Arabidopsis thaliana: one gene and its partners. The protein of the gene in region 1 interacts with the protein of each later gene in a pairwise test. Each region holds a gene or a part of one and is shown in the gene's direction. Other genes may lie near its edges. The genes, in order: VAP27-1, PIP3, AT1G10180 and AGO1.

The links.
Region 2: the proteins of VAP27-1 (region 1) and PIP3 interact in binary tests that used the Arabidopsis thaliana proteins (3 or more experiments, as listed by UniProt).
Region 3: the proteins of VAP27-1 (region 1) and AT1G10180 interact in a two-hybrid assay, tested with the Arabidopsis thaliana proteins (one study listed by BioGRID).
Region 4: the proteins of VAP27-1 (region 1) and AGO1 interact in a two-hybrid assay, tested with the Arabidopsis thaliana proteins (one study listed by BioGRID).

The regions. Positions count from the first base shown.
Region 1 is NC_003074.8:22,398,225-22,403,255, forward strand, and holds VAP27-1 (vesicle associated protein), read left to right. Parts: upstream 1-1,885; 5' UTR 1,886-2,312; coding exon 2,313-2,412; intron 2,413-2,499; coding exon 2,500-2,570; intron 2,571-2,654; coding exon 2,655-2,736; intron 2,737-2,836; coding exon 2,837-2,952; intron 2,953-3,060; coding exon 3,061-3,216; intron 3,217-3,277; coding exon of another isoform or gene 3,278-3,297; coding exon 3,298-3,351; coding exon of another isoform or gene 3,352-3,445; exon of another isoform or gene 3,446-3,688; coding exon 3,689-3,766; intron 3,767-4,070; coding exon 4,071-4,184; 3' UTR 4,185-4,500; downstream 4,501-5,031. Other genes in the region: AT3G60590 (cytochrome P450 family protein), read left to right, coding at 4-196, 508-1,529. UniProt on the Arabidopsis thaliana protein: Part of a membrane-cytoskeletal adapter complex that forms a bridge between the endoplasmic reticulum and the plasma membrane. Associates with microtubules.
Region 2 is NC_003075.7:16,706,615-16,710,914, forward strand, and holds PIP3 (plasma membrane intrinsic protein 3), read left to right. Parts: upstream 1-1,746; 5' UTR 1,747-2,057; coding exon 2,058-2,343; intron 2,344-2,435; coding exon 2,436-2,731; intron 2,732-2,990; coding exon 2,991-3,131; intron 3,132-3,224; coding exon 3,225-3,344; 3' UTR 3,345-3,793; downstream 3,794-4,300. UniProt on the Arabidopsis thaliana protein: Water channel required to facilitate the transport of water across cell membrane. May be involved in the osmoregulation in plants under high osmotic stress such as under a high salt condition.
Region 3 is NC_003070.9:3,337,683-3,343,224, reverse strand, and holds AT1G10180 (LOW protein: exocyst complex component-like protein), read left to right. Parts: upstream 1-1,596; 5' UTR 1,597-1,730; coding exon 1,731-1,826; intron 1,827-2,054; coding exon 2,055-2,149; intron 2,150-2,295; coding exon 2,296-3,313; intron 3,314-3,396; coding exon 3,397-3,903; intron 3,904-3,989; coding exon 3,990-4,178; intron 4,179-4,349; coding exon 4,350-4,486; intron 4,487-4,576; coding exon 4,577-4,844; 3' UTR 4,845-5,040; downstream 5,041-5,542.
Region 4 is NC_003070.9:17,886,553-17,894,403, reverse strand, and holds the start of AGO1 (Stabilizer of iron transporter SufD / Polynucleotidyl transferase), read left to right. Parts: upstream 1-1,807; 5' UTR 1,808-1,976; intron 1,977-2,503; 5' UTR 2,504-2,511; coding exon 2,512-3,147; intron 3,148-3,234; coding exon 3,235-3,443; intron 3,444-3,519; coding exon 3,520-3,669; intron 3,670-3,754; coding exon 3,755-3,894; intron 3,895-3,992; coding exon 3,993-4,102; intron 4,103-4,195; coding exon 4,196-4,302; intron 4,303-4,392; coding exon 4,393-4,531; intron 4,532-4,602; coding exon 4,603-4,719; intron 4,720-5,187; coding exon 5,188-5,295; intron 5,296-5,393; coding exon 5,394-5,465; intron 5,466-5,815; coding exon 5,816-5,938; intron 5,939-6,026; coding exon 6,027-6,189; intron 6,190-6,277; coding exon 6,278-6,537; intron 6,538-6,654; coding exon 6,655-6,797; intron 6,798-6,896; coding exon 6,897-6,959; intron 6,960-7,044; coding exon 7,045-7,108; intron 7,109-7,191; coding exon 7,192-7,327; intron 7,328-7,423; coding exon 7,424-7,497; intron 7,498-7,575; and 4 more.

The DNA.
Region 1 (5,031 bases):
AGGATGGGCCGACTATTCAAGTTATCAACACGTCGTCGTATAATCATAGTAGCTCTTTGTATTTTTGTTCCGGACATGATTATCTTAGTATCCAAACACGTCACATTCAAGTTTATTCTAAAGATTTTTCTCTCCGGAGACGTTAAGAGAAGAAACAGCCAACGGATTAGGGATCTTACCGTTCTGCGATTCGCCGGTGAGTGTTTTTATTTTATTTTTCCGATTTCATATCGGCTTCTTACTCTTTAATTCGATTTCCTTATATGTTATCGTGATTACCTTCCCGAGAATTCATGGTAAAATTGATCGGTATATATTTTGATAATCGACTTCAATTTGGTTTATCCCTCCTTATGCTTAATTGCTTCACTTACCGGTTTTGATTCTGACTTGTATTGATTTGATATCGATTATCCGGTTTAGTAGCTTCAAGTGTTTCCCCTGTGTCCATGTATCGTCTTGGTCCTGATGATTTTGAAATGTTCTGTTTTGTTTGTTTATGTTAAGAACAGAGTTTGAAGCTTTTTTTAGAGACTTCAATGGTGAGCCAAGGAATGGTATCTCTTACAAAGTCTCTATGCACTATGACTCCAAGAGTCCGTCTCAAGAATCCGAATATGTTGCAGAAACTAAAGACTGGATCTTGTAATTTCCGTTTCAGAAATCTCCGTGTCTTATGCACACCAAAGCTGTCTCAGTGGGAACCGTCACCTTTCATTCATGCTTCTGCAGAAGAAGCTGCTGATATAGTATTGGACAAAACCGCGAATGTGTTCGAATCTATTGTCTCCGAGAGTGCAGAGGAAGAGAAAGTAGATATGTCAGCGCAACAACGAACTAATTCTCAAGTTCAGGTACTTAAATGGCCAATATGGCTTTTGGGTCCATCTGTTCTCCTCACAAGCGGTATGGCGCCTACTTTATGGCTTCCGTTGTCATCGGTTTTTCTCGGTTCCAACGTGGTTAGTCTACTTTCTTTGATCGGTCTAGATTGCATTTTCAATCTTGGAGCAACCCTTTTCCTCTTAATGGCTGATTCTTGCGCACGTCCTAAAGACCCATCACAGTCCTGCAACAGCAAACCACCATTTAGCTATAAGTTCTGGAACATGTTTTCACTCATAATCGGGTTTCTAGTCCCAATGTTACTTCTCTTCGGATCCCAATCTGGCCTTCTCGCTTCTCTCCAGCCCCAGATTCCTTTCCTCTCGTCCGCTGTTATCCTCTTCCCGTACTTCATTCTCCTTGCTGTTCAGACATTAACAGAGATCCTCACATGGCACTGGCAATCACCGGTCTGGCTAGTCACACCAGTTGTCTACGAGGCTTACCGAATCTTGCAACTGATGAGAGGGTTGACACTTAGTGCAGAGGTCAACGCACCGGTTTGGGTGGTTCATATGCTTCGTGGGCTTGTCTCTTGGTGGGTATTGATCTTGGGAATGCAACTCATGAGAGTTGCTTGGTTTGCTGGTTTTGCATCTAGAACAACAACAGGTCAGCAACCACAATCTGTTGCTTCTAAGTAAAGACAGATAAATGTTTCTTCGTTTAGTTTTTAAAGTCATGTCAAAGATTTGTAACTCTTTCTTCACTGTATAGCTTTTATTATTCGTGGGTTGGTGATAAGGATTAAAAAAAAACACATATTCTTTATGATCATATTCGCTCTTTTAGTTAGGTATGTGATGTTATTCATTTCAATATTAAAGGCTGATAGGTTGACGTTAAGGTTGAGAATATGCAAAGGTTGACACAGATTCCTGTCAAAGAAAGACATTTAAGAATTTACGAAAAATGATGAAAATGTTTCTCTTAAGAAAGTAGAGCATAATGTCGAATAAGACTAGTTTATATGGTTTTGTATTTTTACTAAGTCATGTCAGAAAGAAGAAGAAAAATATATGTACTGTGTTATAGCCTTATAAGTAATAGGTTTTTGCATTTGGTGAGTACTTGGTAACAGTAAAAAAAAGAAAGTTATACGTTACGTTGTGAAATATGATCAGATTATAATGTATATTCTTTACTTTAGTTGAATTGTTGTTGTTGTAATTCATCTCCACGCGTTTGCGATTAGGGCGCGTTTGCGTTTTTATCAATTTTAAATGAATTGACAGTATTACCCTTGAGAAATGAACAAGACAAATAGCGATGTCCCACTCTATTCATTAGCTCTGTCTAATCTCTCTCGATCGACGACTGCTCTCTCTCTGAACCGGAGACGGTGTCACGGGACGAATCTAATCGCCGGGAAACCGTTTTTTTTTTCTCTCGGAAAATCGATTTGAATCTCCGGCGATCTGATCGGGATGAGTAACATCGATCTGATTGGGATGAGTAACCGCGATCTGATCGGGATGAGTAACAGCGAGCTTCTCACCGTCGAGCCTCTCGATCTTCAATTCCCTTGTAAGCTTTATTCATAACTCTTTCAATATTTCGCATGTCTTATTGCCCCAGATCTATGTGTTAAGCTTCTTCTCTGATTTGATGTAGTTGAATTGAAGAAGCAGATCTCTTGCTCTCTCTATTTGACGAACAAGACCGACAATAATGTTGCCTTTAAGGTTATAATTCTCTTATTTAGCCTTATCAATTTTGGAATCGAGAAAAATTGTTTCGTGTTTCTGAGGCTTCTCGTGATGATTTAGGTTAAGACGACGAATCCGAAAAAGTATTGTGTTAGGCCTAATACTGGAGTTGTTCTCCCGAGGTCTACTTGCGAAGTTCTTGGTCTGTTCTCGATTTGTGTTTTTTTTTGTTAATTTCGATTTGCTAAATTGGTTATTGGATTAGGGAATTTGATGAATTCTTAATGTCTGGTTTGATATAGTGACCATGCAAGCTCAAAAGGAAGCTCCTTCCGATATGCAGTGCAAGGACAAGTTTCTGCTTCAAGGTGTGATAGCTAGTCCTGGTGTCACAGCCAAGGAAGTTACTCCTGAGATGGTATATTATTATATGGATGGTTACAGTTTTCATATGGATGGTTACAGTTTGGTGTTGGTTTTACTTAAAAGCAGTATTTTTCTTGTTTCTTGTAATGAAATTTTGCAGTTTAGCAAAGAGGCTGGACATCGAGTTGAGGAAACTAAACTGAGAGTTACTTATGTTGCTCCACCACGACCACCATCACCGGTTCACGAAGGATCTGAAGAGGGTTCTTCACCCAGGGCTTCTGTCTCAGATAATGGACATGGTTCTGAATTTTCGGTTAGTACATGTTAACTTAAGTTTAGATTTCAGTTTCTCTGGTAGACATATTTATATGTAGATTTTCATGTTTAATTTTAGTTTGAGAGATTTATCGTGGACAACAAGGCTGGACATCAAGAAAACACATCTGAGGTATTTTTCACAATTCTTCCAAGTTTGTCACCGTCAAAACCATGTGACATCATCTTTTGCTTTTGCTCTGTTTAAAACTGATTTTTGGAGGTAGCTTTACTGGAAAGTTGCCTTTTAGGCTGATTTACTAGGTTGAGAATCTTTCTTTATGTTGATTACTTAAAAGGTTCACTACATTTTTAGAAGCCTGTCCAGTGCTCAAGCCGTCCATTAATTGTCTTTTTGTGCACCAAATCCTCGTAGATGTTATTTTGACACAGTTACCACTTACTATACACTATTTTGCTTCAGTCATTCTACATTATTTCTATTACCGCTGAATTTTGTATGATTTCAGGCGAGGGCACTCATTACCAAGCTAACCGAAGAAAAACAGTCTGCCATTCAACTGAACAACAGACTTCAAAGAGAACTGGTAAAACAACTCTCACTTGGATCCTTTATTATCTCTGAATCTCCTCCATGCTCTTGTTACTTTGATGATTAGCAATCTGTAGCGTTTGTAGTGTTTTTCCATGGTTTTGAGAAGGTATGCTTAAAGTCATCATTTGTTTTTGTGAAGAGATGCTTTAACTTATCTTTTGCATTGGCTTCTGTTTCCATGGTTGACTTATCTCACCATACCATTAATCAAAACCAGTCTTGTATGAATATTCCACAAGCTTAGTTTAGAATCTTGAGATTGTTTATCTGACAAAGATTTTGGTTTGATGTGGCAGGATCAGTTAAGGCGTGAAAGCAAAAAGAGCCAAAGTGGTGGTATCCCATTCATGTACGTTCTTTTGGTCGGACTCATCGGTCTAATTTTGGGATACATTATGAAGAGGACATAAACCACCCACCTTGAAATTAATCCCTCACCCGCCACGAAGGAAAAAAAAAAGACTTTTAACTCTTTTCAGTCGGACATTTTTTTCTCTTCTGTATTTGTCAATTTCGCCTTAAAAAGGTGTCCTAGAAGATTTGTGTTTCGTAACTCAGTTTGCTATGTTTTTTTCAACTTTTGTAATCCAAATGACTTTGCGTTGGTTCTTTCTCCACTAATTCTCTTATATTTCTTAACTTCATTTTCCATCTCAAACCTTCCTCCGTGTCTGCATTAGTCAGTGTATGTATATGTTTGTTCCAAATGCTTTTCTCTTCCTTTACCACATAATTTCTTACATCAATATTGAACAGAGATGAACTACAACGGCAATGTTTCATGCTTATGTTTTTTACTGATGAGGAAAGAAAGAGCTAAATCATGTGCAACTTTTAGTATCTTCTTCTAGTTTCCATCTAAGAACCATGGACTTGGACAACGAATAGACCAACAAGACTCGGTTCTCCATTACCCTGTTGCATCTTCTTGGTTTACTATTCATTTGTCCTAGTCTGGTCCATACACCCGACGTGCTACACAAATAAAACTTGAAGCAAAGAAAGATACTAAATGGGAGAAACTACAAGAGAAAAGAGCGAGAAATAGAAACTACCTGGATCAGATAGCAGCGCTAAGAAGAAGAAATTTTGGAGAATTGATCAAAGATTATAGATAAAACAAATTTACGTTTTTATATGTGTTGAGAGTATAACGATGAGACTATTTCTCTCTGTTTCTTGTTTCTCTGGTTTGTTTATGATGATGATCGATGATACTAAAACGATGAGAGTACATCTATATTTTTATTTTCGTTT
Region 2 (4,300 bases), on another chromosome or scaffold:
ATAAAACTTGAAATCTTATTGATTACTACTAGGGTCGATATCTCACTATTTGGAAACCGCAGGCTCCCTATTTATTAGTTTCAAACTCAATTGAAATGAAAATGTGTATTGGTGGTTTTAATGTTTGCACTGCGTAATGTTGCCTGAACTGTATATTTAATAAATTTACCACAACTTAGCAGATATAATTTTGTTATACGAAATCGTATAGTCTTCTTCATGGACAAAGAGGAAGGCAATCATCATTTTCTATGATTGCTCATCGACCTGGCATTTCCATTACCAAAGGCAGCATAATATCAAATCAAATATTTCTTTGTCGTACTTTACTTGAATTAATGATATTATCGTGGGTCGACTTAGGAAGTAAAGTTACTTCCATTTCATATATCTAAATCACATTTGCGTAAAATTTAAGTATTACACAAAGTGATAAAGTAAATTAAGTAATAATTGGCTAGGGATATTAACAAAATAAATAATTTTGATTAGGGCTACGAGGATAAGGACAAACGTCGTATTAACGTATAAAAAATGTGAAAGGAAAAGAGTAAACTAAGCTTTAGATATTAACACTCATTACGGGATTCCTAAATTGCCAGCACTTCGGATTATCCGTCAGTCCACTATTTATGCTAGTTTTTCTTTTCCTTGTGAGCTTGCACTATGGATTTTTCTTTATGCAATTCTCAATCTAAATGACCATTAAACTTTAGAAAAAAATGACCATTAAGTTTTAATGTACATTTGTATCAACTTTCTAATATGCCACGTCCGTATTGCTATATACAAACATAACCATTCAAATTAATATGGCTCTCTCAAAGGAAAAAAATAAAAGGAATAGCAAATGAGTAGATAAATTTTTTGATCAAAAAGAATAAGATGCACTAGTATTAGTATATACTCCCATACATCATTTAACCAAATTTTAAAATTGATTATAATCCATAAATAGTCTTCAAATTTCAACGACAAACACATTAATGTGAGTATAAATTAGCATAGACTACTATATAGTTTATATGCGGGGTGAATGTTTGTCTATACAAGTTTCGTCAAAAAAACGGCACCAACCATAATTAATAGACTCTTATCTTTTGCTGGTATATGAACTCTTTTTAAAAATTGCCGCGAATATACCTTCTTCGTAGATTATTAATCTTTTTCATGTACAGTTGCCTTTAGCAGATTATCATATGTTACAAACATTTGACCTAATTTGAAAAAATGTTACCAAAAAAGATTTGGAAAAAAAGACAAAGATATTGAGATAACCGTTGAAGAGAGTTTGGGATGACAGGCTGACGAGAAAACCATACACCTCATTTCTATCATTAACCCTCACATGGCTTATCTGTACATCTGGACCCCACCACCTTCTACTTTTATCTCCCATTTTTTTTTTCAAATTATTACTACCCAAAAAAATATTCAACAAACCTACAAAAACACATGTCTTATTTTTATTTATTTAAACATTTGTGTATTTATCCCATTGTTCCATATTTATTAGTAGGAAAAATATTCACATTTTACAGAACTGCAAAAGATTTGGCCATGCAAATTATACCCCACTTTGATTGCTATTTTATACACTATATCATACAGTACAAGAACAAAAATTTGATTGGGCCAGTAATAATGCATATAACTATTGATGTTAGCAAGAGAAAAAAATGCATTAAAACACAAATTTGACTATTATTTTGCAGGAACATTCGTGATAATTTTGACTATTATTTTGTCAGTAATAATGCATATTAATCGTATGTGATTTTAACTAAAACTGGAAAGTTCCAAGGAACATTTAGTAGTTTATATTTTTAGTACTAAGTTAGTTTAGAGGGTTATTAACTATTTAATCGTACTAATAATGATTATAAGCAGAATTATGTAGACTATACAAATAGTACGTAATACCGAAAGTACCCTTGGTTTATCCCTGGCATTACAAGGGTTTCCTTTTTCCCCTTTAAAATGGCAGAAGAGATACACTGTCGTCGTCACACAGCACCACAAACTCCATAGCTAGCTAGAGAGTAAAAAGAACAAAGATGTCGAAAGAAGTGAGCGAAGAAGGCAAAACCCACCATGGAAAAGACTACGTGGATCCTCCACCAGCTCCTCTTCTCGACATGGGTGAGCTCAAATCCTGGTCTTTCTACAGAGCTCTCATCGCTGAGTTCATCGCTACACTCCTCTTCCTCTACGTCACCGTCGCTACTGTCATCGGCCACAAGAAGCAAACCGGTCCTTGTGACGGCGTTGGTTTACTTGGTATCGCTTGGGCTTTCGGTGGTATGATCTTCGTCCTCGTCTACTGCACCGCCGGTATCTCTGGTAAGTTTGAATCCCACCAAAAACCCTAACTTTTACTTGTTTGGTTCGTTGGTTTTATTGTTAATCTCGTTCTTGTTCTCGTCTTCTCGTAGGTGGTCACATTAACCCAGCTGTGACTTTCGGTCTGTTCTTGGCCCGTAAGGTCTCTTTGGTGCGAGCTCTTGGTTACATGATAGCTCAGTGTCTTGGAGCCATTTGTGGTGTGGGTTTCGTGAAAGCTTTCATGAAAACTCCTTACAACACTCTTGGTGGAGGAGCTAACACCGTAGCTGACGGTTACAGCAAAGGAACTGCTCTCGGAGCTGAGATTATTGGAACTTTCGTCCTTGTTTACACCGTTTTCTCTGCAACTGACCCTAAGAGAAGCGCTCGTGACTCTCACATCCCCGTAAGTCTCAAAAAGCTTGAATCTTTAATTGAGTTTTTTGACAAAGTTACTATGAATCTGATTGGGTCTTTGTAGATTATGATAAAGGTTGAATCTTTTTAGGATTTAATGATAAAGTTAGTATGAATATAAAATGGGTCTTTGTAGATTCTGATGAAGTTTGAATCTTTTTATGGTGTAATGACAAAGTATGTATGAATCTCTAAGGATCTTTACTTTGTAGATTCTGATAAAGTGTGGTGGGTTTTCTTGTGATTAGGTTTTGGCTCCACTTCCAATTGGATTTGCTGTGTTCATGGTGCATTTGGCTACTATCCCCATTACTGGAACTGGTATCAACCCAGCTAGAAGCTTTGGTGCTGCTGTTATCTACAACAACGAGAAGGCGTGGGATGACCAAGTAAGTGTTTAGTTATTATCTGGATTAGGTATTCACTAATCATTCATGACTTCATGTCCTAATGTTGGTTCTGTGTTGGTTTTGGTTTTGCAGTGGATCTTTTGGGTTGGTCCGTTCTTGGGAGCACTAGCTGCAGCAGCTTACCACCAATACATATTGAGAGCTTCAGCAATTAAGGCCTTGGGCTCGTTCCGAAGCAACGCAACCAATTAATGAAGGCTTTTTTTAAGATAATGTCAAGAAACAACTTTAAGATTTATATGCTTTAATTATTATTTGTTGTTCTTTTGTGTGTAATGAGAGAGATGGTGGATTGATGTTAATTATGAAATGGCTCAGTGACTTCTATTTCCTTCTTTAGTTTTTGATTGTCTTTGTTAATCGTTTGCCTTTGGTTTCTCTTAGTAGTTACAAATTCATGTTTTCTCTTCATGTCAGTTCGTAAATATCGAACAATCCAAGTTGGAATTTATTATTCACAACATCACAAGATCCTTCAATGTACATTATTACAGCTAGCGTCCAATTAAGATACAAATTTCGGCTGAACATGGTGTGTGGGTCTTTTGGTTATTATCCTCGTGTCGACTCTAAACCATCGGGTCATATGTAAACCATTCATTAATTGACACGTGTTGAGAAGGAAATATTGGATTCCATTTGCTATGTGGTTACATTTTCGTTAGTTGACAAGAAAACAACTATTTTCGCTCCATTTGCTTTAGTCTTTTTTTTCGATGTTACTTGTTAGAATTAGTATTGTTTTTAAAAGAAAAAGAACTCGTGCGAGTACCTTTTGTTGTTTTTGTGAAAGGATAAAAAGGAGTGGAGCCAATAGAGTTGTAACAACCAGACAAGAAACGAGACATTAAACCCATTTTTTCCACCGCACTCTAACTTTTCTTAGGCCGCGTGTCGCGTAGCTCATGTGTTTATCACATGGGTAACTTTTCTGCGTCTAGTTACCGTATTGTTATTGTTATTGTTATATAGTAGACTCCTTTTGGCTAAGAGTCTTTAGACCCACCCAAACGCATATGTGTTTGGATGTATTAGGAAATTATTTGTATAAAAGACTTTACCAACTTAATTGAATAATGCATTTGATTAAAGAGAGAAAAAAAAAAGAAAATGCTCATGGAAGCAATAAGCACTAAATTTGTCTATGG
Region 3 (5,542 bases), on another chromosome or scaffold:
ATTAAAATCTTTCAATTTCCCAATATTTTTAGAAAATATAATTGGAACCAATTGTAAAAATGTAAGAATATTTAACTAATAAGAGATGTACTCGACGAGTTAAAAATTTCATAATAAAAATTTATAATTTAAAAACAAGGTAAAAATAAAAATAGTATTTTTGTGAGATAAATCATATATATGAAAGTTGACCAATTCTCTCCATATGATTGACACATCATCACTTTAACATTTGCCATGTGTCCACTGAATAATTAATGTAAGCTCTTCAACTTTTAATTTATAGATTAATGATATATTTATTATTTAATTTTACATATTTAATTGTACTAATACTAAATTTATTTTGTTATTAAATGTTTTTCAATAAAATAATTTGATTGGTTTTCTCATACTCAAAAGATTTTTTTCTGTAATCTTAACTCAAATTATGAGTGTATAGTAGTCATGGATTAATTAATAGTTTGAATAGTTTGCATATTGTTATATATCTATATAATAAATCGCCGAGGGTGAAGAGTATGTAAGAAGTTTAATCATCAAATTCTTAGGTTTCGAGAATCCCAATATTACCCTCTATTTAATTAGTTTAAGACGAACATTGTTTATGAATTGTGTGTATAATGCATTGTTGAGAATGTTGTTAGAAAAAATATATTTTAATACTAAGAATAATTACTTATTATATAAGTAAATGATTAGATAATTAAAAATTATATTTAAATTAAACGATACAAAAAATTTGAAAATACCGCAGCATAGCGCGGGTGATTAACTAGTGTTACTAATAAATATAGAAGAACGGTTTTATAAAATATGTTTTGGAACACATAAAATATAGGAATGGGCCGAATGGCCTTGTGTGTGGAGAAAACATTTGTTACTATAGTGACGAAAAAGAAAATACTCCCGTGAAGAAATTTAACAGCTTGTGTTACTTACTTACTTGTTTAGCACTTTGGTTCTCCATTCAAATATCTGAACCAATAATAATAGACCAAAAAAGAACCAAAATCCTTTTTGTACCTGCTTTGTCTGTTTTATAATGTCCATGGCTAAGCCCAATTTTTGTCGGGAAGGCCCATTATCAATATATATTAATTTGAAGGAAAAAACTAAAAAGGGATTTAAAAAAGAGAGAACCAAATCGAATTTCTAAAACACTCAATGGATCCTAGAATCCTTGAACCGAACTATCCAACACCGCAGAGAACAACACAAAGCGAATCAAATACCCAGGAATTAAGAGCGAACCGGAGAAAACCAGCATCAAATGTCAAAACCTTTCTTTTTCTTTATTTTACTACCTCTTGTGCTCTATTTCCAGCTCGAGCAGGCAATTTGTATTGGTCATCATATAGGTTTGAATTTTAATGAATTGGTCAACCCTGAAGTCAACGAGATATTTCGTTTTGTGAATTGTGGTTAAACAAAATTTTGATTTTGAGATTAAAATTGTAGTAGAAGTTTAGGAAATAGTGTAGACTTACTTCTTCATGGCGAAAAAGGTATGACAAAAACCATAAGAACCATCGTGCCGTCTTTGGCTTGAGATATTACACTACATGCCGTTTTGTGTACAAAAAAAGCAATGTTACAATTCCGACGAATCTGTGTGTCTTGAGAGCAGAGAGAGTCCAAAGCATCACTATCGTGCTTCTTTCGGCAACCGTGTCTGAGACAGTGAGACTCCGAGGAAAACTGAAGGGGAAATAGATAGAGCGAGAGACATGGAGAGCAGCGAGGAAGACGACGAGTACCCATTTATAGAAAGCATCACTCCTCAGTCAAAGATCGATTCCGTTCACCAGTCTCTCACCGAAAAGGTCTCTCCTTTTCTTTTTTCTGAGTTGTTTCCTTCTCTGAACTGATTCATTGCACTCGGATATAGTTTATCTCAAATGGGTTCTTTCGAATTAATCTGGATTAAGAATCAGTAGCCCTCGAATTTTACGTCTTGGATTGAAATTGTTGAACCTACGATTGTTCATGATTACTTCTCCTGTTGGTCCATGGGTTTATGCTCGTTGATCTGGTAATGTTGAACAATGCAGGGGATTAGAAAGCTTTGCTGTGAGCTTATGGATTTAAAGGATGCTGTGGAAAATATGTGCGGTGATATGCGTACCAAGTACCTTGCTTTCTTAAGGTAATGTATAAAAGCTACTAACTTCTCTTTGTTATTTCATTTGCGAGTTTTGAATCTGCAATTCCGGATTCAAAGGTTACGTCATGTTTCTTTGTATCCGTTGTGCTAGTTTCTGAGATTCATTTCTTTATGCTTGGTTTGTGTAGAATATCTGAAGAAGCGGTGGAGATGGAGCATGAGTTGGTTGAGCTACGGAAACATATTTCTTCTCAGGGGATTCTTGTGCAGGATCTGATGGCTGGAGTTTGCCGTGAGATGGATGATTGGAATCGATTACCTGGTGATGTACATGACGCTGAAGTCGAAGAGGACCCCTTGCCTAATGAAGTAACCGATCCAAAGTCTGAGTTCCTGGAGAAAATTGACCTTCTTTTGGCTGAACATAAAGTGGATGAAGCACTGGAGGCAATGGATGCTGAGGAAAGAAGCAGTCCAGATCTTAAAGGATCAGTCGAGATGTCTTCTTACAAGTCTGCCTTTATGGAAAGAAAGGCGGTTCTTGAGGATCAGCTCCTTAGGATCGCTAAACAACCCTCGATTTGTGTAGCTGAATTGAAGCATGCATTGATTGGGTTAATCAGACTTGGAAAAGGACCTTCAGCTCACCAATTGCTTCTAAAGTTTTACGCCACAAGCCTCCGCAGAAGAATCGAGGCCTTTCTCCCTTCATGTTTGACTTGCCCAAACACGTTTCCTGCTACTCTCTCTAAGCTTGTTTTCTCTAACATCTCAGTGGCTACAAAAGAATCCGCAGCCATGTTTGGTGACGATGATAATCCCGCATATTCCAACAAAGTTGTTCAATGGGCAGAGAGGGAAGTTGAATATTTGGTGCGGTTGGTTAAAGAAAACGCTTCTCCTTCCGAAACAGCTTCTGCATTGCGGGCAGCCAGTATATGTCTTCAAGATTGTCTTAACTATTGCAAAGTGTTGGAACCACAAGGCTTATTTCTGTCTAAGCTATTTTTGGTGCTGTTCCGACCTTATGTTGAAGAAGTGTTGGAGTTGAATTTTAGACGGGCTCGAAGGGTTATCTTTGACTTGAATGAAACTGATGAGGGCTTGGAATCACCCTCTGACTTTGTGACAATATTATCTGAATTCGCTATCGCTTCAGATACTATGATGACTGATTGTAGCATTCGATTCATGCAAATTGTGCAAGTAAGTTGATTTTGAACACTGATCTTACTATTTTCTTTGATTCTGTTGGCATAAATTTATAGAAGCTTTATTTGTTCTTTCAGGACATACTTGAGCAGTTAACACACCTAGTTGTGTTACACTTTGGTGAGAGTGTACTAACGAGGATATTGCAACTATATGATAAATACATCGACTTTCTGATCAAAGCCTTGCCTGGCCATTCAGATGAGGATGGTCTACCTGAGCTCCAAGATAATACCGTACTCGCTAGAGCTGAGACAGATTCTGAGCAGCTTGCGCTTCTTGGAGCTGCGTTTACAATACTTGACGAACTTTTACCAAGATCACTTGTTAAAGTCTGGAAACTCCAGATTGAAAATGGCGGAGGAGAAGGTGAGAATAGTGCCGCTCTAAACAGTAGTGCTGCACCGGAACTGAAAGAATGGAAACGCCATATGGTTCAAGCATTTGACAAACTCAGAAACTACTTCTGTCTGCAGTTTGTCTTGAGCTTCATCTACTCTAGGGAAGGACTAACGCGATTAGACGCACTCATTTATTTAACCGAAACACCAGATGACTTGCATCTGCCGTCTTTACCGTTTCAGGTCTCGCCCTCTTCTTTGATCTAGTTTTATAGTTCCCAGTTTATAAGTTTTAGCACACAGAATCATCTGTGTCTGTTCTTATGCAGGCATTGTTTTCTAAGCTACAACAGTTGGCCATAATTGCTGGGGATGTTCTGCTTGGTAAAGAGAAGCTGCAAAAGATTCTACTAGCGAGATTAACAGAGACGGTTATAATCTGGCTATCAAACGAGCAGGAGTTTTGGAGTGCATTCGAGGACGAGTCAAATCCACTTCAGCCATCTGGATTGCAACAGGTAGAAACACTCTCTTTCACCACTCTTATATACCTCAGCTATTCTCTGATCTCAGGCTCAGCAGTCAAAGATTGAAAATTTGAAATGGGAAACAATTGAAACTTGATGTTGAAGTTCATTTCTTGAGAAGATTGGGGTTGAAAGTTGAAGTTTTGTTGTCACGTGTTGCAGTTGATCCTCGACATGAACTTCACAGTGGAGATAGCCAGGTTTGCAGGTTATCCATTTAAAGTAGTTCAGAACCATGCATCAGTGGTGATCAATCGAGCCATCAACATATTCTCGGAAAGAGGCATCAACCCACAAAGGTAATTGAAACAACACTCTTTTTGAATTTTCTTCCAACTCGGTCTCAACATAACGAATTACCTAAAAAGTGTATTATTCTCTTTCACCAGCTCACTCCCGAAGACAGAGTGGTTCACAGAAGCCGCCAAGTCAGCTATCAACAGGCTACTCATGGGGTCTGAGGATGCTTCAGAACCGGAAGAATATGAGTGTGAAGAAGAAGAAGAAGACGATCATCACATCGTCCTCCCTGAGATGGATGACGACTCAGATTCCGAAGATACATCTTCACTCTCCACAGTGGACTCGTTCGAGTCATTTGCCTCTGCAAGCATGGCTGACCTAGAGAGTCCATCTTTCACCGATTCTGAGTCTTGACCACTTTCTTTGTAGTTTGTATCCTGTAGTCAAGTCTCTCAAAACTCTCAAGTTAATATATATAAAGTTAACCGAAATCATCTGCAAATTAAATTACTGGTTTAGATTGGTTTAAGTCAATTAGTATAGGCCCATTGTTAGCCCATTAGGGATGAGGCGGTTCTTGAGGGTTTGTCAAGCATAAAATAATTCAGACAAGCCGGTGAAAAAGAAAAGTCGTACGCGACTCTCTCTCTCTATCTTTTATTTCCTTTGGGAGCAAGGCGGTCTATCACTTTCAGTCGCTATATATAATCTTCCTCATCGCTCCATTTTCTCCTACAGTCTCTTTCTCTCTCTCCCTGAGAAAACAAGGGAGACTAATCGGAATCTCCTGCGTATTTGATTCTTCCGGCGATTGTTTCCTTCTTTATACGCTTTCGTATATTCTTGTCAGGTACCAAACTTTTTCCCCCTCTTTGGTTGTGAGCTTCTAATCATTTGTTTTATCGTTCTCTTTGATTCAGCAATATCGAAGCCAAAATTTGTGTGTTGGTTGGTGTTGGTCACCAAAATTTCTTAGATATGATAAAATAGGGCACTTTGATTTTACCCCCTTTTTTAGATCCCAAAGAAGGAGGAATAGTTTAGGCGTCTTGCTATCAATTTTCGATTCGTTTGATTTGGCTTTAGTTAATTTCAACATCGTTGTAGCTGTG
Region 4 (7,851 bases), on another chromosome or scaffold:
AGAACTCCAATCAACATCTAATATTTTGTCTACAACTTTATGTTTTTTCACCTTACTATATGATCTAGACAATCTTTTGTTAGGTAAAGTGTCTAGATATTCTTTCACCTAATTAACACGGAAACGTAAACTTGTACAAAAACATCTATTGATTATAGAAGAGAACCGAGCCGTGAGAGTCGTTTCTCGTCAAGACCGCACCAATCGACTCAAACATGAGCCAAACTGTACGTAGTTCTTATAAGGAACACAAACCTCCATCGTAAACCAACGTTTTCGATCGGTTCTAGCTAGACTCGCCATGCATGCATGTGCGTTGGTGCCCGTAATTACGTACACCAATCTTGATTGATATCAATGCTTATATGCCGTTAATCTTCATCTCGACTCTCGAGGTAGTAGTACTTGACGAGTTCTAAGTTCTTCTTCCGTTATGAGAAATCATATATAAGTTCTTCTATACATCTCGCTTGATTATTATAATCTTTCGCCTTTTAATTTCTCGTTTGATTATTATAATTAATGTTTATAATGAAAAGAATCATTATTTCCCAAAGCAAACGAATCATTTTGAGATAGACTTACAGTTATCACAAAAAGAAATCTAAACGTTTTCCCCAAGATTTAGCCTTTCGTCAGCATGTAATTACTCGTGACATATTCTCTAGCTCATATTTCTTCTTCACGCACGAGCAACCAATTTTGTTATATATGTATAAATCATCTTTGACAATTATATATAATACAGATTTGTTACGAGTATATGAATTTTTTTGAGGTACAGAAGCAAATCAACTAGTGAAACTAAATTAAAGAGCTAACCATCAAATAAAGTAAATTGAATTAAACAAACAAATCATACCACGTGATGACAGCCACCACATTCCTAAAGTTAGAAAATTGGCAAACCTGTAAAAAAGCATCACTTCCCCGAAATCGCAGGTCATATTTCTATGAAAACGAAAGAGAGTTATCTATATAGTAAATGGCTATATTCATATTTGCCCCACCACCCATGACCCATCTCAGTTAATAAATAGTTCTTCTATTCACCTCTATACTATAATCATTCACTTTATCTTATATATAGTCTATAAAACTAAACGTAATTCGCATGATTTTGCCTTTCGTTGCATGAAAAATCCTCCTTGACAATGTACAATTCGTTAGTACTACTCGATCAGTCGCCTTGACTCACGACATTTTCTCTAGCCACTGTTTTATCTTCACACACAAGTACCAATTTTAAACTGTTGTACTTAACTGTATAACATCCTTTATACGTAACGTAAGCCAAAAATTATGATCTAATCAGTTACTACAGATTAATAATAAGATTAATAACGGCCGGTCTACTAATTTTGAACACTTGTGCATGCATTATCTCTCGTTGAAATAGTAAATTAATGCAACTAACTTTACAAGATTAATCGAGGTATATTATAGTCTAAAACAAATATTTAAATTAATGCAACTAACTCTTGAAGATTAATCGAGGTAACGCATCACACTAATCATATTTAATCGGATAATACATATACTGTTAGTAAAATAAATTAAAAAAGATTTGGTAGATAAACGACAAAAATGTTTTTCGTCTTGTTGTTTTCGAGAAGCTTCTTTTTCCGGATTAAAAAAACATTATGCAATTCCACGTCATCAGCGCATTACAAACAATGAAAGACTACACACGACCTTGGGTCAGCATTCCAAAGACCCAACCCTGACTCGCCACGTCGACATATGCCAGCTATTAATGAAGAGGGTAATTCCGTAACTTACTCTAACCACAGAACCCTTGAATTTAAAGTGTAGCAGTAAAATCTCATTTCTTTGAGTTATCTCGTTTGTTCGGAGTTAGAGAGAGAGAGAAAGATATAGAGAGAACACAGAGAGGCGAGAGCGACGTAGGGTTGGTGTTTCGTACGGATTTTCTCGGTCAATCTTAGTTTCTCCGGCGAGAGATTGCTTTTCAGGTAAAAATGGCGGCGGTTTTGGTGTTTGTTCTTCACTTAATCTGTGTTCGATCTGCGTATGAACTCGATTTTTCCACTCGATTGGGTGGATCCGCTTCGTTTTGGTGTTATGGTTCACTGATAGTGTTGTATGTTTAGTTGATCTTTGCGATTTCGGATCTATTAGCTTCGTAGCTGTTTTGGTGTGTGTGTTCGTCTTCGAAGATATTTAGGTTTTTTTTTTTTGTTGCTTCAAATTTCTTACTGTTTCGTGCTTGTTTTCTTACTTCGTTTTCTGTTTAGGTCTTTGATTGTTTCTTACTAGGTTTTCTATGTTTGCTTTGGGCTGTTGAATTTGGTTTTCTATCTCTCTAGCTAATCACTGGTTTTCGTGCTTCTGAGTCGTTTGTTTTTGAAGCTAGTTAGGGTTTTCTTCTGTTGCTTCTATATTTCGATAGTTTTGTGCTTGTTTTCAATGTTTGCTTCTTATTTTCAAGGATAATTTTAAAATGACCCACTGTTTTTGGGTGGTTGTGTTATTTTCACAGGAATCATCATGGTGAGAAAGAGAAGAACGGATGCTCCATCTGAAGGAGGTGAAGGCTCTGGGTCTCGTGAAGCTGGTCCAGTCTCAGGTGGTGGACGTGGTTCACAGCGAGGTGGTTTCCAGCAGGGAGGAGGACAACACCAAGGTGGAAGGGGTTATACTCCTCAACCTCAACAGGGAGGTCGTGGTGGTCGTGGATATGGGCAACCACCACAACAGCAACAACAGTATGGAGGACCACAAGAGTACCAAGGAAGAGGAAGAGGAGGACCTCCTCATCAAGGAGGTCGAGGAGGGTATGGCGGTGGCCGTGGAGGTGGACCTTCTTCTGGACCACCGCAGAGACAATCAGTTCCCGAGCTGCATCAAGCTACCTCACCTACTTATCAAGCGGTGTCTTCTCAGCCTACACTGTCTGAGGTGAGTCCTACCCAGGTACCAGAACCTACTGTTCTGGCTCAGCAATTTGAACAACTCTCTGTTGAACAAGGAGCTCCCAGTCAGGCAATCCAGCCTATACCTTCTTCTAGCAAGGCTTTCAAGTTTCCAATGAGGCCTGGTAAAGGACAGAGTGGAAAGCGTTGCATTGTGAAGGCTAACCATTTCTTTGCTGAACTGCCTGATAAGGATTTGCACCATTATGATGTGAGTTTTGTGTTCCCTTAGTATTAGCTACCATACATCTAATGTCTATTTATAAATTTACCTGACCAACTGTGTTCTTTCTGTTAGGTTACCATTACTCCGGAAGTTACATCAAGGGGTGTCAATCGTGCTGTGATGAAACAACTTGTTGATAATTATCGTGATTCTCACCTTGGAAGTCGTCTTCCAGCGTATGATGGTCGAAAAAGTCTTTACACTGCTGGTCCACTTCCCTTTAACTCCAAGGAGTTCAGAATCAATCTTCTTGACGAAGAAGTAGGGGCTGGAGGTCAAAGGTCTAGTTCTTATGGTTTCTTGTTGATTTTTTTAATAAGGAAGTTTCAGAATAATAACATCTTTCCTATTTTACAGACGAGAAAGGGAATTTAAAGTTGTGATCAAGCTAGTTGCACGTGCTGATCTGCATCACCTAGGAATGTTTTTGGAGGGGAAACAATCAGATGCCCCACAGGAAGCTCTGCAGGTTCTTGACATTGTTCTTCGTGAGCTGCCGACCTCTAGGTACTGGTTACTCATCCTATGGATGTTTGCTTCTTTACTACCATGCTTGTAAGTCTCAGCTGGTTTAGTTTTGCTAACATGTTAGAATCAGGTATATTCCGGTGGGCCGGTCCTTTTATTCCCCTGATATAGGAAAAAAACAATCATTGGGGGATGGCTTGGAGAGCTGGCGTGGATTCTACCAAAGCATTCGTCCTACACAGATGGGCTTATCACTCAATATTGGTGTGATGGCTTGCTGTATTACATTCAATAATTTTTGATATCTGGTTCTCCTTGAATGTTTAACTCATGGTTGTGCTGCAATTTTGTCTGTTTTGTAGATATGTCATCGACAGCCTTCATAGAGGCAAACCCTGTGATTCAGTTTGTCTGTGATTTGCTTAACCGGGATATTTCTTCTCGACCTTTATCTGATGCTGATCGTGTTAAGGTATGAATCAATTGTCATTTTCTGTAGTAAGTGAAATGTTGTATTAATCTACTCTTCTTTGCTTAGTGACTTGGAATCTTCTTCTGTCAACAGATAAAAAAGGCTCTTAGAGGTGTCAAAGTTGAAGTGACTCATCGAGGAAACATGCGCCGGAAGTACCGCATTTCCGGTTTGACTGCTGTGGCCACTCGGGAATTGACGTGCGTATTTGTTTTAGATTTACTACTCTTATTTCGCGAATGTTGAACTTGATGAAATTAATTTTTACTCTCTGTTTTTATCCTTTTCAGATTCCCAGTAGATGAAAGAAATACTCAGAAATCTGTTGTAGAATACTTCCACGAAACATATGGTTTTCGCATTCAGCACACTCAACTACCATGCTTGCAAGTTGGGAATTCTAATAGGCCTAATTACTTACCAATGGAGGTAACTTTGAAATACGTCATCAGGTTTTATTAGCTCACCAGTACTTCCGATTCTAATGTGTTGCTGCACAGGTATGCAAGATTGTTGAAGGCCAGCGGTATTCCAAAAGATTGAATGAGAGACAGATCACTGCTTTGCTGAAGGTTACCTGTCAGCGCCCGATAGATCGAGAAAAAGATATCTTACAGGTATGTTTCTTTATTTTCGATAACTTTGTTTTCCTTCACTTGAATCAAGAGTATCTTTTTGTCCGCCTATCTTGATAGTCGTTTTAAATAATGTATGCTGGTGATAAAGCCTCATTGTGGAATAGATCATTGTAAAATCTGTTTATTCTTACTTGGTTGCATGTGTTTACTTGAAGTAAGTGATTTTCTCAATTCATATCTAACTTGTTTTTAATCATATAAACTTGTGGCTGAAAGGATGTTATGGAATGAATGGCTTAAAAACCTGTTTCTTCTTTACTTGGATGCATATGTTTGCTTGAAGAGAGTGATTTACCTTGAGATGATGCCTTTACTTCATAAATAGTGAGGCAGATTACCATCTTCAGAGTTGTGCTCTTAATTTAGCAGCGCGTGTGTCTTCTGGCTGCTGTTGTTGAAAACTCAATTGTTTATTGCTAACATTATACAATATTTTCTGATTTCTAGACGGTGCAACTCAATGATTATGCTAAAGATAATTATGCTCAAGAGTTTGGCATCAAAATAAGTACTTCTCTGGCTTCTGTTGAGGCTCGTATACTGCCTCCTCCATGGGTATAGTAATCGTTCCCATTGTCTCTTTGCTATTACACTTTTTCTCTGTATCTTAATGACTCAAATTAGGGTTCCAATCTGATTTTAATGTTCTGCAGCTTAAGTACCACGAGTCTGGAAGGGAAGGGACTTGTCTGCCACAAGTTGGTCAATGGAACATGATGAATAAGGTAACTAGACGAAAATGTTCCTGGTTTTCAACTATGCACTTACATGTTTCTTGCTTGTGTTACCTATATATACCTATGCTGTCATTTTTATGTGAATATTTTGTAAATCATGGCTGAGCTGTATATTTCCAGGTAATTGGCAAGAAAATTGTTTATTTATTTGTCTGTTATGAGACATATTACTCTAAAATGCTATTCTCTTGATATGAGTATGGGTGTGGCACTTGACTAGTTGCAGAGAGTATTTTGTTCATGTAGCTATGTAGATACACACTGAATTTGTCTTTGTTATTTTTTGAAAGTGATCACAACGTTTTCTGTTGTCTGGCTAATATGAGTCTTCTCTGCAGAAAATGATCAATGGTGGAACGGTGAATAATTGGATCTGCATCAACTTTTCTAGGCAAGTGCAGGACAATCTAGCGCGTACATTTTGTCAGGAACTTGCTCAAATGTGTTACGTATCTGGCATGGTGAGTCTTTGGAAGCACAAACTTGATCAGTTTATTAACCTTTCCTACACTGATTCCTTCCCTTTAATTTTTTATTTCTTACCTGCAGGCATTTAATCCGGAACCAGTCCTCCCACCAGTCAGTGCTCGCCCTGAGCAAGTAGAGAAGGTCTTGAAGACTAGATATCATGATGCCACATCAAAACTCTCCCAAGGAAAAGAAATTGATCTGCTTATTGTCATTCTGCCCGATAATAATGGATCATTATACGGTATGAGCCATGGTCTCGGATGTTTCATTGTCTACTTCTGCTTAGGAACACACTCTCAACTTATTTTCCTTAATAATATCCATTGCAGGTGATTTGAAACGCATATGTGAGACTGAACTCGGCATAGTCTCTCAATGTTGCCTGACAAAGCATGTCTTTAAGATGAGCAAACAATACATGGCTAATGTTGCGCTGAAGATTAATGTGAAGGTTGGAGGAAGAAACACAGTGCTTGTTGATGCTCTATCTAGGCGGATTCCTCTAGTCAGTGATCGACCCACCATTATATTTGGTGCTGATGTTACCCACCCTCACCCTGGAGAGGATTCAAGCCCATCTATTGCTGCTGTAAGTTAGCTTCTCCTTTAAGATCTACTTCTGTATATGGATGCTTTTGTTTATTTTCATGGCCTTAACCTTTTCAAATTGTGCTTGTTTTGTTGACAACGAAATTTTTGTTTTCAGGTTGTGGCATCTCAGGATTGGCCTGAAATCACTAAATATGCTGGATTAGTTTGCGCTCAAGCGCATAGGCAGGAGCTCATTCAGGATCTGTTCAAAGAGTGGAAGGATCCTCAGAAAGGTGTGGTGACTGGTGGCATGATAAAGTACGTGTGGATGTTATTTAATATTTTCGTGATTGGGTTTTAGCTTTAGCTTGCTCTTAAGTAACAGATCTGTACGTTTCTCCCCTTACTTTTGAACAGGGAGTTGCTCATAGCCTTCCGTAGATCAACTGGGCATAAACCACTAAGGATCATCTTCTACAGGTATTAACTCTTCTTATGGCACTTACTTGACTAAATAACTTTCTGTCTTTCTTTCTGAAATGTATTATATGGTTATTCTGCACAGGGATGGAGTCAGTGAGGGACAATTTTACCAAGTTTTGCTCTATGAACTTGATGCCATCCGCAAGGTAACAGTTACTTCTAACAAATGGCTTGTGTTGCGTGCTCGTTTTCTTCTGTTTAATCTGATTATTATTTCAACTCATTTCAGGCCTGTGCTTCGCTGGAAGCAGGTTATCAACCACCAGTGACATTTGTGGTGGTGCAGAAGCGTCATCACACGAGGCTGTTTGCTCAGAACCACAATGATCGCCATTCGGTGGACAGAAGTGGGAATATTTTACCTGGTGAGACAAGTTTGGATCTTTGTCAAGCTTTTTGTGCGTAGACCTAATCAGCTGAAAATCCCTTGCATTGGTTTTTAACCCCTTTGTTAATTGTAGGCACTGTTGTGGACTCTAAAATCTGCCACCCTACAGAGTTTGACTTTTACCTCTGTAGTCATGCTGGTATTCAGGTATAATTTACAATCTCAAATGAGTTTGTGGGTGAGAATTTATTTGAAGTGTTTAACAAATCAAAACTCCATTAACAGGGCACTTCTCGACCTGCTCATTACCACGTTCTTTGGGATGAGAACAACTTTACTGCAGATGGACTTCAATCTCTGACCAATAACTTATGTTACACGTAAGATTTCTTACCTTTGTAACATATTCCTTGTTACAAGTGTTTGCAAGATTGCAAGGAAAATAAGAGTAACATTTAAACTACCTTTTTGATTTGTACAGGTATGCAAGATGCACACGCTCAGTTTCAATTGGTAAGTTTTGTGTTTCCCATCCCTTAATGTCATCTTGATTTTGATATA